Bombyx mori: one gene and its partners. Each later gene encodes a partner of the first gene's protein in a complex. Links are inferred from orthologs where the notes say so. Each region holds a gene or a part of one and is shown in the gene's direction. Other genes may lie near its edges.

Region 1 (3,657 bases):
TGATTTTTAAATTAACACACAAATAAGTCTTATCTTTACTTTTGAAAATCAATCATGACTATCTTCCACAGGCGAAGCTGCACAAAAAACTCAACAGACTTTAACATTTTACGAATTAGATCTTGGTTTGAATCATGTTGTTAGAAAGTACTCTGAACCTTTAGAAGAGCATGCAAACTTTCTCATAACTGTGCCTGGAGGAAATGATGGTCCTTCTGGTGTCCTTATATGCTCTGAAAATTATCTCACATACAAAAATTTGGGTGATCAACATGATATTAGGTGTCCTATACCTCGCAGAAGAAATGATTTAGATGATCCAGAAAGAGGAATGATCTTTGTTTGTTCTGCCACGCATAAAACTAAGTCCATGTTTTTCTTTTTGGCACAAACTGAACAGGGTGATATTTTCAAAATAACTATAGAAACTGATGAAGATATGGTCACTGAAATAAAGCTGAAATACTTTGACACTGTACCAGTGGCAACATCAATGTGTGTTCTTAAAACTGGATTTTTGTTTGTGGCTTGTGAATTTGGCAACCAGTGAGTATACTTTTGTAAATATATTTGCGTTGCATAAGTGCTAGTGAGTATAAACTCATTTTGTACTCTTAAGAATTACTTCATGCTATAGAAATTTATCCTTGAACCAAGGTCCTCCCTTGTTATGGGGTGAGTGCACACTGATATAGGATGTACATACTAAGTTTATGATGTGTGCTGTACATCTATTTAGGAATGATAAATTACTAAAATACACATAAATTTCAGCTACTTATATCAGATAGCACATTTGGGTGATGAAGATGATGAACCAGAATTTAGCTCTGCTATGCCTCTAGAAGAGGGCGACACATTCTTTTTTGCACCAAGACCTTTGAGGAATTTAGTACTGGTAGATGAAATGGATTCTTTGTCACCAATATTAGGTAAGTAGTAGCAATTGAACGCATCACTGGTGCGCCTTATCTTACTGACCGTTCGGGCCACGAGGGTCACCCGTGAGCCGCGGGAGGCTTTCCTACAAGCCACTCATTGCAGCTATCAAACAAAACTCTTATTAAGCCGAACCCAAACGCTTTGGTTTTCAAATCAATAGAAATTTGCAGTTTAAAGTCCTATGTTCCGTGCAAATTATTGCATTATATAAATTTTATAATGAAAATCTCAAGTTGATAAAAGTTAGATTCTCTAATTTTGCCTTGGCTCAAATAGTATAGTAAGCTAGGCCCACCAGTGGGCCGCATGGCGTTCAATGTTTTAATGAGGAGTCCTCAAAATAAAAAATAGTATATATATATAATTGATTAATAAAAATTCCAGCTTGCCATGTGGCAGATTTAGCTGGGGAAGATACTCCGCAAGTTTACTTGGCATGTGGGAGAGGCCCACGATCCTCCCTTAGAGCACTAAGACATGGTCTTGAAGTTGCTGAAATGGCTGTATCAGAGCTTCCAGGATCACCGAATGCTGTTTGGACAGTTCGACGAAATAAAGATGGTGAGTATTAATTTACTCTGTTTCATTATTTCAGGGAGCTCTAAAATTAAATAATTAAACTGTCGAGATTGAAGTACAGGAGCATAATGATTATAATTTTGGTCCGTGTTACTGATAAACTGTGACGCCACTCTACTACTACCACTTATGAATGCTCCCTTTTATCAACAAGTTACTAATAAAACCCTGGTTGTTTGTCAAACATAAACACCAGTGGTTTTTCTTTTCAGAATCTACTAACGGCAGGTGAACAGACATGGTTCAGCATGACGAACAGGTAGGCAGAGCAAGTTATCTACACTGAAGATCAACATCGCCATCAACAAAATTTTCTTAGTTACTTATTGAACATAATAATAGCTTTCAATTTTCTTTGGTTACAGAGGAATACGATTCTTACATCATTGTGTCATTCGTTAATGCCACACTTGTTCTTTCCATCGGTGAGACTGTTGAAGAAGTCACTGACTCAGGATTTTTGGGAACTACACCTACACTTAGTTGTCATGCAATGGGTAATGACGCTCTAGTACAAGTATATCCTGATGGTATAAGACATATTCGTGCTGACAAACGTGTAAATGAATGGAAGGCTCCTGGAAAAAAATCTATAGTCAGATGTGCAGTCAATCAAAGACAAGTCGTCATTGCCCTAACTGGAGGGGAGTTGGTATATTTCGAAATGGACCCTGTAAGTAAATACAAAACATCGAAAAACCCTTTTTCGACGTATTTGCGTGGCGTTGCCTTCGGGTGAAGCCGCGTGAGAGTGATGCGTAGCTGTCTTTCATACAGTGATGAGCACACAACGTCGTAAAACATGTTACCTTCCCCTTGTGGTAGAGGGTGGCGCTCGGCATATTCCATAGCCAAGCTGGAGTCATTTTGACTATGAACGCGGCAAAACCATGCTGTGGACATTCTTAAAAGTACTAATCTTAAATGTTTGTTAGTAAAACACATATTTCAAATAAAATTTGTTTTTCAGACTGGACAGCTCAATGAATACACAGAAAGAAAGAAATTATCTTCAGATGTTTGTTGTATGGCATTAGGTTCAGTTGCAGCAGGGGAACAGAGAGCATGGTTTTTAGCAGTTGGTCTCAATGATAACACTGTCAGAATTATCTCTTTGGACCCAGCAGTAAGTATTTCTGGTGACCATAATAACCACATACAATAGCAATAATTGGAATGATGACACCAGGACACCACTGATTTTTGTGATTACAACATCCCAAAAAAGCGTTATTCTCAAATTACTGAATGTTTAAAAAATTATACAGTTAACTCTTAAGCATAAAAAATTCAAAAAATATAGATTTTTTTTTCTTTCAGGACTGTCTTTCACCACGTTCTATGCAAGCTCTTCCTGCTGGTGCAGAATCATTATGCATTATTGAGCAACCATTTGAATCTGGTGCAAAATCTGCCCTGCATTTAAACATTGGCTTAAGCAACGGGGTGCTGTTAAGAACTACCTTAGATTCTGTAAGCGGTGATCTTGCAGACACTAGAACTAGGTAATTAATTAATCAAATCACTATTACTAACTTCTTTTATTGTAAAAGCCAATGATGTTAACAATTGTAATCGCTCCGTGTTTCATCTGAAAATTTTGATGAGTAATTAACCAGATCTGAGAGCCCTTACTACTATGAAAACATAATTTTGAAAATGATCATATTTTAAGTTGGTTTTTTTTTTTGCAGATACTTGGGGTCAAGACCTGTGAAGTTATTTAAAGTAAGGGTACAAGCTGCTGAAGCAGTACTAGCTGTGTCGTCTAGAACATGGCTAGGATATCACTATCAAAATCGTTTTCACCTTACACCTCTATCTTATGAATGTTTGGAATATGCAGCAGGATTTAGTTCAGGTAAGAAATAAAAATTACTGTTTAAAATATCGACGTGTTTGCCTGGCCTTACCTTTGCAGGTGAAGCCAAGCAAGAGTGGTGTGTAGCTGTCTCATACAGTGATGAGCCCACAACGTCGTAGAGCATGTCGCCTTCCCCTTGTGGTAGAGGGTGGCACTCGGCATATTCCATAGCCAAGCTGGAGTCACTTCGACTGTGAAGGCGGCAAAACCATGCCGTGGACATATAAATATTAAATAAGTAAATATTATATTTTAATAAATAAAATTTAAAT
Region 2 (3,553 bases), on another chromosome or scaffold:
ATTAAAATCAATAAAATTATATTACAGTATTTACTTAGTATTACAAACACAGTTTAATGTAAAAACTTACCAAATCCTTAAATGTTATTTTATCATCTTCAGTATCTTCGTTGACATTTTCGGTTGGAGTTTGTTCCACCTCACTATCCTGGTTGGTTTCGTCTCCATAGCTTTCCTTGTCTGCAGTCATTTTCTCTAAATTATCATTGTTTTGGGGAATACAAAAAAGACGCGAATATTGAAAGCATGTGTTTGAATTAGGGGTATGCTGATTTCTGATTTCTGATTTCTGAATCTATCACATATAATATGTGACGTATGTGTCACCAAAGAAGTAAAACTGTCAAAAGTATACTTGACAATTAAGACCGATCGCAAACCGGCAATTAGACTTTTTGGTGGGAACGCGAGGAGTGAAGTTGTGTGATTTGTTTTATTTTGTCTATTTAGTGTTTCTTCAGGTTTAAATGTGTAATAACGGTGGTTTATTAACTGTTTAATATCTGTGACAGTGCACAAATGTGGGAAAATGAAACAAAGCCACTGGACGTAACTTCTCGGGATCCTCCAAAAAGTCCACTGAAAAAATCTCAGTAAATGACCACCATTTTACTGAGATTATATTTCATCCCATATCATCTCATCTCATTTCATTTAATTTCATCCCAGTTGATTGTTGTCTCAAATTAATCATCTTCATTTCATTTCATATTATCGTTTTCCATAAAAATACCCCATATTATATCATCTCATCTCATTTCATTTTATGCCATGTTTCATAAATTAATACACTTCATTTCATAGTATCATATTTCATAAAATAAAAAAAAATATATAAAAGGTTAGGCTGTATGCTATGATACCTTTGCCTTTCCATTTGGAAAAATGAAACTACTACTACTACTTATCTATGGTGCCAAATTATAGGACATGGCTTCGGCCTTAATGAAATTTTTATTTCAGGATATGAGTCGTCTATTATCAAAGGTGGCAATCTGTGCATTTGGACAAAAAAAAATTATTGATATGTCAATACAGATTGTTTTGAATATAATCGTCTCCTTCAAAGAATACGGTTCAAAACCTGCATTAAATAAAGGTTAATAGTTAACCTGTTATTTATCTAAGATGTCGTTCCGAAGAGTTTTGTGACTGCCAATGGAATACAAAGTCAATAATTCGTTTTTTCTGATTTACCAATCATTGTCCAAAAGTCAGATTGCCGGCTTTGATAATAGTCGACTCATATAATTTAAATCCTATAAGACCTGGCTTTGGCTTTATTATAAATTTATATCAGAAATTATATAGAACAAATGAGGCGGTATGGGCTTAGATCCCTTTGCCTTTCCTAATAAGGAAAAATTGTAACAAAAAAATATATCTATGGTGCCACTTGTCAAAATTACCGGGTCAAAATCGTCAAAATCTTTGTAGGTTATTCGATAAAAAAACAGTAAACGGCAAGTTTGATAATAACAATCAAAGAACATTCGCCAGCAGACCAGACCTAACTAAAAACATGGCAAAGCATCATCCAGATTTAATTTTCTGCAGGAAACAGCCCGGAGTCGGTTAGTAGTATTAAAAAATGGAAGACAACCAAGTTTAGTGTCGCTTGTTTTAATGCTATTTCTTATTTTTCCAGCTATTGGACGTTTATGTGAGAAATGTGACGGAAAATGTGTGATTTGCGATTCTTATGTGCGTCCGTGCACGTTGGTTCGTATTTGTGACGAGTGCAACTATGGCTCGTATCAGGGGCGATGTGTGATTTGCGGCGGGCCTGGAGTATCTGATGCTTATTATTGTAAGGAGTGCACGATACAGGAGAAGGATGTAAGTTTTAATTTTGTAATTTTTGAACTCAAATAATCGCATCGAAATCATTAATTTAAATTTCCTCAAATCAAAAAACATCGTTATATTTTGATAGTTTAAAAACTCACAAGAAACTAGTCAACCTGACTTGATCAAGTGACCTGATAATGATTGTGTGCGTCCCCAATATCATGTACATTAAGCCAAGCCTAATAAAATGTATAGCCAAAAGGATTGTGGCATTGAAGTGGCATTGGGCAGGACACATTGCTCGTAGAACAGATGGCCATTGGGGCCAGAAAGTTCTTGAGTGGCGACCGCGTATCGGAAGACGTAGCGTGGGTAGGCCTCCCACAAGATGGACCGATGGACGATGGCAGTGGACGTCTGTGCGCTGATAACAATAATAATAATAATAATAATACATATTATTATGCTAATAAAATTGTTATTTTTCACAGAGAGATGGCTGTCCAAAGATTGTCAATTTGGGAAGCTCTAAAACAGATCTGTTCTACGAGAGAAAGAAATATGGGTTTAGGAGACACTAGCATTAGGTTTCTTTTTAGTTTTTAAATATTAATTTCTGCAAAGTTTCTGTTATTTAAAATAATAAAAACAGAGGTTTTTCTCAACTAAAGTTTGATTGAAATACAAGTTTGTTTTTATCAACTACTTTGTTGTTGACTTTTTAAAGCCAACGGCTATTATGATCAAGTATGGTTTTCAATGTCTAAAGAGTTGCAGCTCGGGTCCAAGAGAAATTCACATATATTTTTTTAAATTCATTCATTTATACAATTGGATTGTTGTTATCGATGATATCTGTTATTTTTTTACAATTTTTTTTATCCTTTGTTTATTCAATGCAGATTAGTTTTCATTTTCCAACTAGAAAGAAAATACTTGAAAAATACATTTAGTTTTTGCATTTAAATTATTAAGATTCATTTTTATTTTTTATTTTTCTACTAAATTGTCAATAAAGATATTTTTGACTACCATGTGCTCTGTAAAACTACAGACAATATGTTAGCAATATTCATGTATGTAATGAGAGTGATTGTACTGTGTGAATGTTGTCTGTCATATTTTGAAAACTATGTTTCTAGTGTGTACTTACATTAAGACATTATGTAATTATTAATAAATGCATTGGTATTACACATTTAATGGCCCTACACTACCATTTTCTCCTTCGTCATGGGTCTGGGAAACAACCAAACATAACTAAGTAATTTCTAATCAAATATCTTTTGACTATCCGGGAATTACACATACCTGGACTATATTATATCTTTATATATATATATTTCTTATGTGCGTGTGTGTGTCACTGAACTCCTCCTTAACGGCTGTGCTGATTTGAATGATTGTGTTTGTATGCATTTGGGTGGCACCCTGGATGGTTTAGATTCACAAATCAACCCAGCAGAGGGCGCTGCAGTCGGTATCTAGGTTATTTATCTTTCCTAGAAATAATTTATATGGTAAAACAACATTTGCCAGCTAGTAGTATTATATAGTACTAGTCAGTAACACTATATAATTACACAATGAATTAGGTGGTCAAGCAAATATTTTAAAGTTATGGTATTGAATGAGAAAACTATTATATCGAGGGGTGAAGGGGGCTATTTGGTTTAAGCGACATTTTTGCAACTACAGGAGAGCCATTTAAACTAAAGTAACATTTGGAAAAAATATAATAACAAAAAACTTCTTCAACTAT
Region 3 (3,757 bases), on another chromosome or scaffold:
GCTACCTAAAATAATGAAATAAAAATAAAAGGTATTGAAACAATTTCGATGTTTTTAAATTTTTAAATCAAACACTTACATTTTCAGTATCGTCTGCCATTTCTAGATATTGTTATGAAAATAGCTTGTTTTATGTCTTGTTAAAGTAGTCGCTATTTTTAAATTGTATTTTCAATGATGTCGGTTGAATGTATTAGGTTATCTTTTGGTTTTCGTGTTTCGATTTGTACACAAAACATCCATGAATAGTGTTGTCTCGGTACTAAACTCTCTCTATTTTCAAATAGTCGATGATTTTTTTAAAGGTTTCAATTATCGACTTTTTACGTTTTTTAATTTTACTGCTGCTTAAATCTTGAACTTGAACCACCTTTGTGGAAATTAAATTTAAGATGAACAGTGATATTCACGTTACTCGCAAGCCAATATCTGCATAGCTTAAAGTCGATATCAACCGCTAAAGGCTGATGGTATGAGTCGAGTAGTAAGCTGTTGGATCATTAGATATAGAGTGGGACGTAATATCCGAACCACATTTTTTTTAAATACGGAATCGACGTTTAGCAGAATTTGTAAGATGCGTAAAGCTCAGATAATTCTGTCGCGAAACGTTCGAGGTTTGAAGAGTAGGTATATCTGTGTAGCAGTATTTTGAGACTTTCGCCACATTTATCAAAGTAGATGGTTAGATTAGCGTGTGGTGGGCCAAGAGATACTACTGTTAGGTTTTCATCCCATCGGAAAGTCAATTCAGCTCGATTGTAAAATTTGCAACGAATAGGCTTAGACAGTATTGGTTAAAAAAATTATATGAGTTAATTTTCTTAATAAACCGATTTTTGTCATTCGATTTGCTTGGTTGCAAAATGTTATATTTTGAAGATATGAAAATTTTAATCCAGGTAAATTTAGAAACTCAATCTAGCAATCTTTATCAACCTATTAAAAAGTCAAGGTTTTTTTTGGCGGGAACGCGAGGAGTGAAGTTGTGTGATTTGTTTTATTTTGTCTATTTAGTGTTTCTTCAGGTTTAAATGTATAATAACGGTGGTTTATTAACTGTTTAATGTCTGTGAAAGTGCACAAATGTGGGTAAATGAAATGAAGTCGCTGGACATAACATCTCGGGATCTTCCAGAAGGTCCACTGAAAAAAACTCAGCAAATTACCATCATTTTACTGAAATTATATTTTATCCCTTAGCATCTCATCTTCTTTCATTTAAATTTCATCCCAGCTGATTAAAGTCTCATATTAATTGTCTTTATTTCATTCCACTCTATATTATCATTTTTTATAAAAATAAAAATATAAATTAAAAGAAGACACGACTTAAAGGTCTTGGTTACCAGGTCATAAAATCCCTAAAAATAAATAAATTAAAAAGTCAACTGTCAAATGTAGAATCCGTGGATGCAAGCGAGCGCTTTGTGATTTTGTTATGCGTACTTTTATCTCATAGCAATCGAACCAAATTTCACAGCTCATTTTGTTTCAAGAATCTTTTATTAGTATTAAGTAAGGCACCGTTGATTTAGGCATGAGAAAAATAAAACGTGTAAAAATCTCTTTATATTTGCTTTAAAAAATGGTTAGGAGTGGGTGAGTGTCGATGTTTGTAAACGAACTACTTGAATCATTAACCTGTAAACGTTCTTGAAGCTTATTCAATATGTGCTAGCGTTCGAAAGTTTTCACAATACAATTTTGTTTCTTTTAGGAGAGACCGTGATAGGGAAAGGGATCGACGTAGATCTCGAAGTCGTTCTGACACACCGGATCGTAAACGAAGGAGGTCAAGATCAAGAAGTCGTGATCGGGGCTCGAAATCTTCAAAGAGGAAGCGCAGTCGTAGCAGAGATCGTGACTCTAAACGAGACCGAAGCCGAGAACGGGATCGCAGTAGGGAAAGAGATCGTAGTCGTGAGCGAGATCGGGACAGAAAAAGGTAAACTTTGAGTAATTAATAACCTCAAAATAAAAAGTTAAATATTTTAATTTAAGTCACAAGACTCTTTTGTTAGCGTTAGTACAGTTTATAAAATTATATTTATTCAAATAATACATTTTGTTAAAATGTTTTATTAAAGCTAAATTGAGGCGTGTTGCTAATTTATCTAAGTTCATTCAGTGATAAAAGAGATGATAAAAGAAATGGATCTAGTAAATCATCGAGAAAGAAGTCACCGGAGAAGGAAAGGGAGAGATCAAAATCAAAGGAAAAGAGTAGCAAAGCTGATTCTTCTGAATATAACCCGGGCTCTGTTGACAAGGTTTGTTTGTTAAGTTGTTGCTTATTTTCACAATAACACAGTTGAAACAACTGCTGAAATGTTTATTAAAATTGTTGAGTTCTAAGATACAATCTGGATAAAAACTTAATTTGACTGATACCCAGTGGGCTTTGAATAACAGAGAAACATAGGTGGCAATCTGGTATAATAGTGTTGGAAGTGATTAGTGAAGAAATATTTATTGGGCTATAAAAGCTGCAAATTTGTCAATGTATTGGTTTTAATACATAACTTCACAGTTAAAGTAAAAAACTTGATTTTTTTTTATGCTTTCACATCATCTACTTTGCATTTGCTTATGTACAATTTAAGGCTACATATTTATAAATGTATATTGTATTATGTAATAAGGAGAGTCATGCATTGTTGCTAAATAAATGAGACCCAAAAAATCGAAATCATATACAACAGATAGGTACAGCGTAAATAAGAAAATATAAAATATCTGTAAATTGTATGTTTGTACTGTATTGTACTGTATGAATTAGCAAATGTTATAAAGAGTCTGATTAGGTAAGAGTTTGAGATGATGCAGAAGCAGTTTGGCATTATATTATATCAACATTCAACTTTTAACTGAATATTTAGAATTTACGTATCAAAAATACATAATAACTACAAACATACATGCAATGAAATCTCTTTGTCAATGGAGTGCTGCTAATGTCGTAAAGTGATAATTCTCATTTGATCTTAGATGGCCCAATAAAACTTAGCCACTAACACATACTACGATTAGTATCCTTGTTGAGACAGGCAAGCATCTGAGGTGTGGTGTTAGAGGCTTTAGGTAGTTCTTTCACAAGAGCTTAATATCATATGGCAATTCATTGCCTGGTGTAATAAGCAGCAGAAGCCAAAACTTACTATTCATTTTATTTGATTATTTATGTAGGAAGAAGAGCAAAACCGCTTGGAAGCTGAAATGCAAAAACGTCGTGAACGCATAGAGAGATGGAGGGCTGAACGTAAACGTAAAGAAATCGAATCCGCTAAAAAAGAAGTTCAAAAAGGAAGCATTGTTACTAATATACAAATACCGACATCAAAGAAATGGTCACTTGAAGATGACTCTGGTGATGAAGGTCAGTAAAACAAAACCTAATCTATTCATCATTTACCAAAATTTAAGATTCACACACACATGGAAAACTTATTGGCTAAAAATTAAACGTTTTTTTTTTCATAATCTTGCATTAATGTGTGAAGAAAGTGATTTTTCTGAATACCTCTACTCAATATTTTGTGTAAAAAGAAACACATCATATGTTAAAATAATCTAACAGCTTTGCCAGGTGAAGATGCGGAAGGAAAAGAAAAAAACAATATAGGAGAAAAGAAAGAAGAAGAAGATGAAATTGATCCTTTGGATGCGTACATGCAAGAAGTGCAACAAGTAAGTTAATAGAGTTATTTTATTTGAAAAAATTGAAGTCGTCAGGAAGACGAAAAAGATACGATGT

Evidence for each region.
Region 2: the proteins of splicing factor 3B subunit 3 (region 1) and Phf5a are in contact, whole or in part, in a crystal structure (PDB 7B91), measured with the Homo sapiens proteins. The link is inferred for Bombyx mori from reciprocal best matches to the Homo sapiens genes SF3B3 and PHF5A. Residues at the interface, in NP_036558.3 of Homo sapiens: Gly85, Arg86, Gln104, Glu105, Thr106, Phe107, Gly108, Lys109, Ser110, Leu140, Ile154, Ser155, Ser156, Pro157, Glu159, Ser1162; in NP_116147.1 of Homo sapiens: Gln14, Ala15, Gly16, Val17, Arg44, Asp47, Glu79, Asp81, Arg82, Asp83.
Region 3: splicing factor 3B subunit 3 (region 1) and probable ATP-dependent RNA helicase DDX46 share a complex: the UniProt entries of both Homo sapiens proteins name them as parts of the 17S U2 SnRNP complex. The link is inferred for Bombyx mori from reciprocal best matches to the Homo sapiens genes SF3B3 and DDX46.

The regions. Positions count from the first base shown.
Region 1 is NC_085117.1:14,811,735-14,815,391, reverse strand, and holds part of splicing factor 3B subunit 3, read left to right. Parts: intron 1-71; coding exon 72-546; intron 547-774; coding exon 775-932; intron 933-1,326; coding exon 1,327-1,503; intron 1,504-1,733; coding exon of another isoform or gene 1,734-1,753; exon of another isoform or gene 1,754-1,780; intron 1,781-1,886; coding exon 1,887-2,194; intron 2,195-2,491; coding exon 2,492-2,647; intron 2,648-2,841; coding exon 2,842-3,026; intron 3,027-3,215; coding exon 3,216-3,382; intron 3,383-3,657. UniProt on the Homo sapiens protein: Component of the 17S U2 SnRNP complex of the spliceosome, a large ribonucleoprotein complex that removes introns from transcribed pre-mRNAs.
Region 2 is NC_085114.1:14,383,775-14,387,327, reverse strand, and holds Phf5a (PHD-finger 5A), read left to right. Parts: upstream 1-1,467; 5' UTR 1,468-1,522; coding exon 1,523-1,574; intron 1,575-1,648; coding exon 1,649-1,839; intron 1,840-2,282; coding exon 2,283-2,372; 3' UTR 2,373-2,989; downstream 2,990-3,553. Other genes in the region: ATP-dependent RNA helicase DDX47, read right to left, coding at 71-190.
Region 3 is NC_085109.1:10,027,696-10,031,452, forward strand, and holds the start of probable ATP-dependent RNA helicase DDX46, read left to right. Parts: upstream 1-1,376; 5' UTR 1,377-1,588; coding exon 1,589-1,602; intron 1,603-1,720; coding exon 1,721-1,948; intron 1,949-2,131; coding exon 2,132-2,273; intron 2,274-3,189; coding exon 3,190-3,379; intron 3,380-3,580; coding exon 3,581-3,690; intron 3,691-3,757. UniProt on the Homo sapiens protein: Component of the 17S U2 SnRNP complex of the spliceosome, a large ribonucleoprotein complex that removes introns from transcribed pre-mRNAs.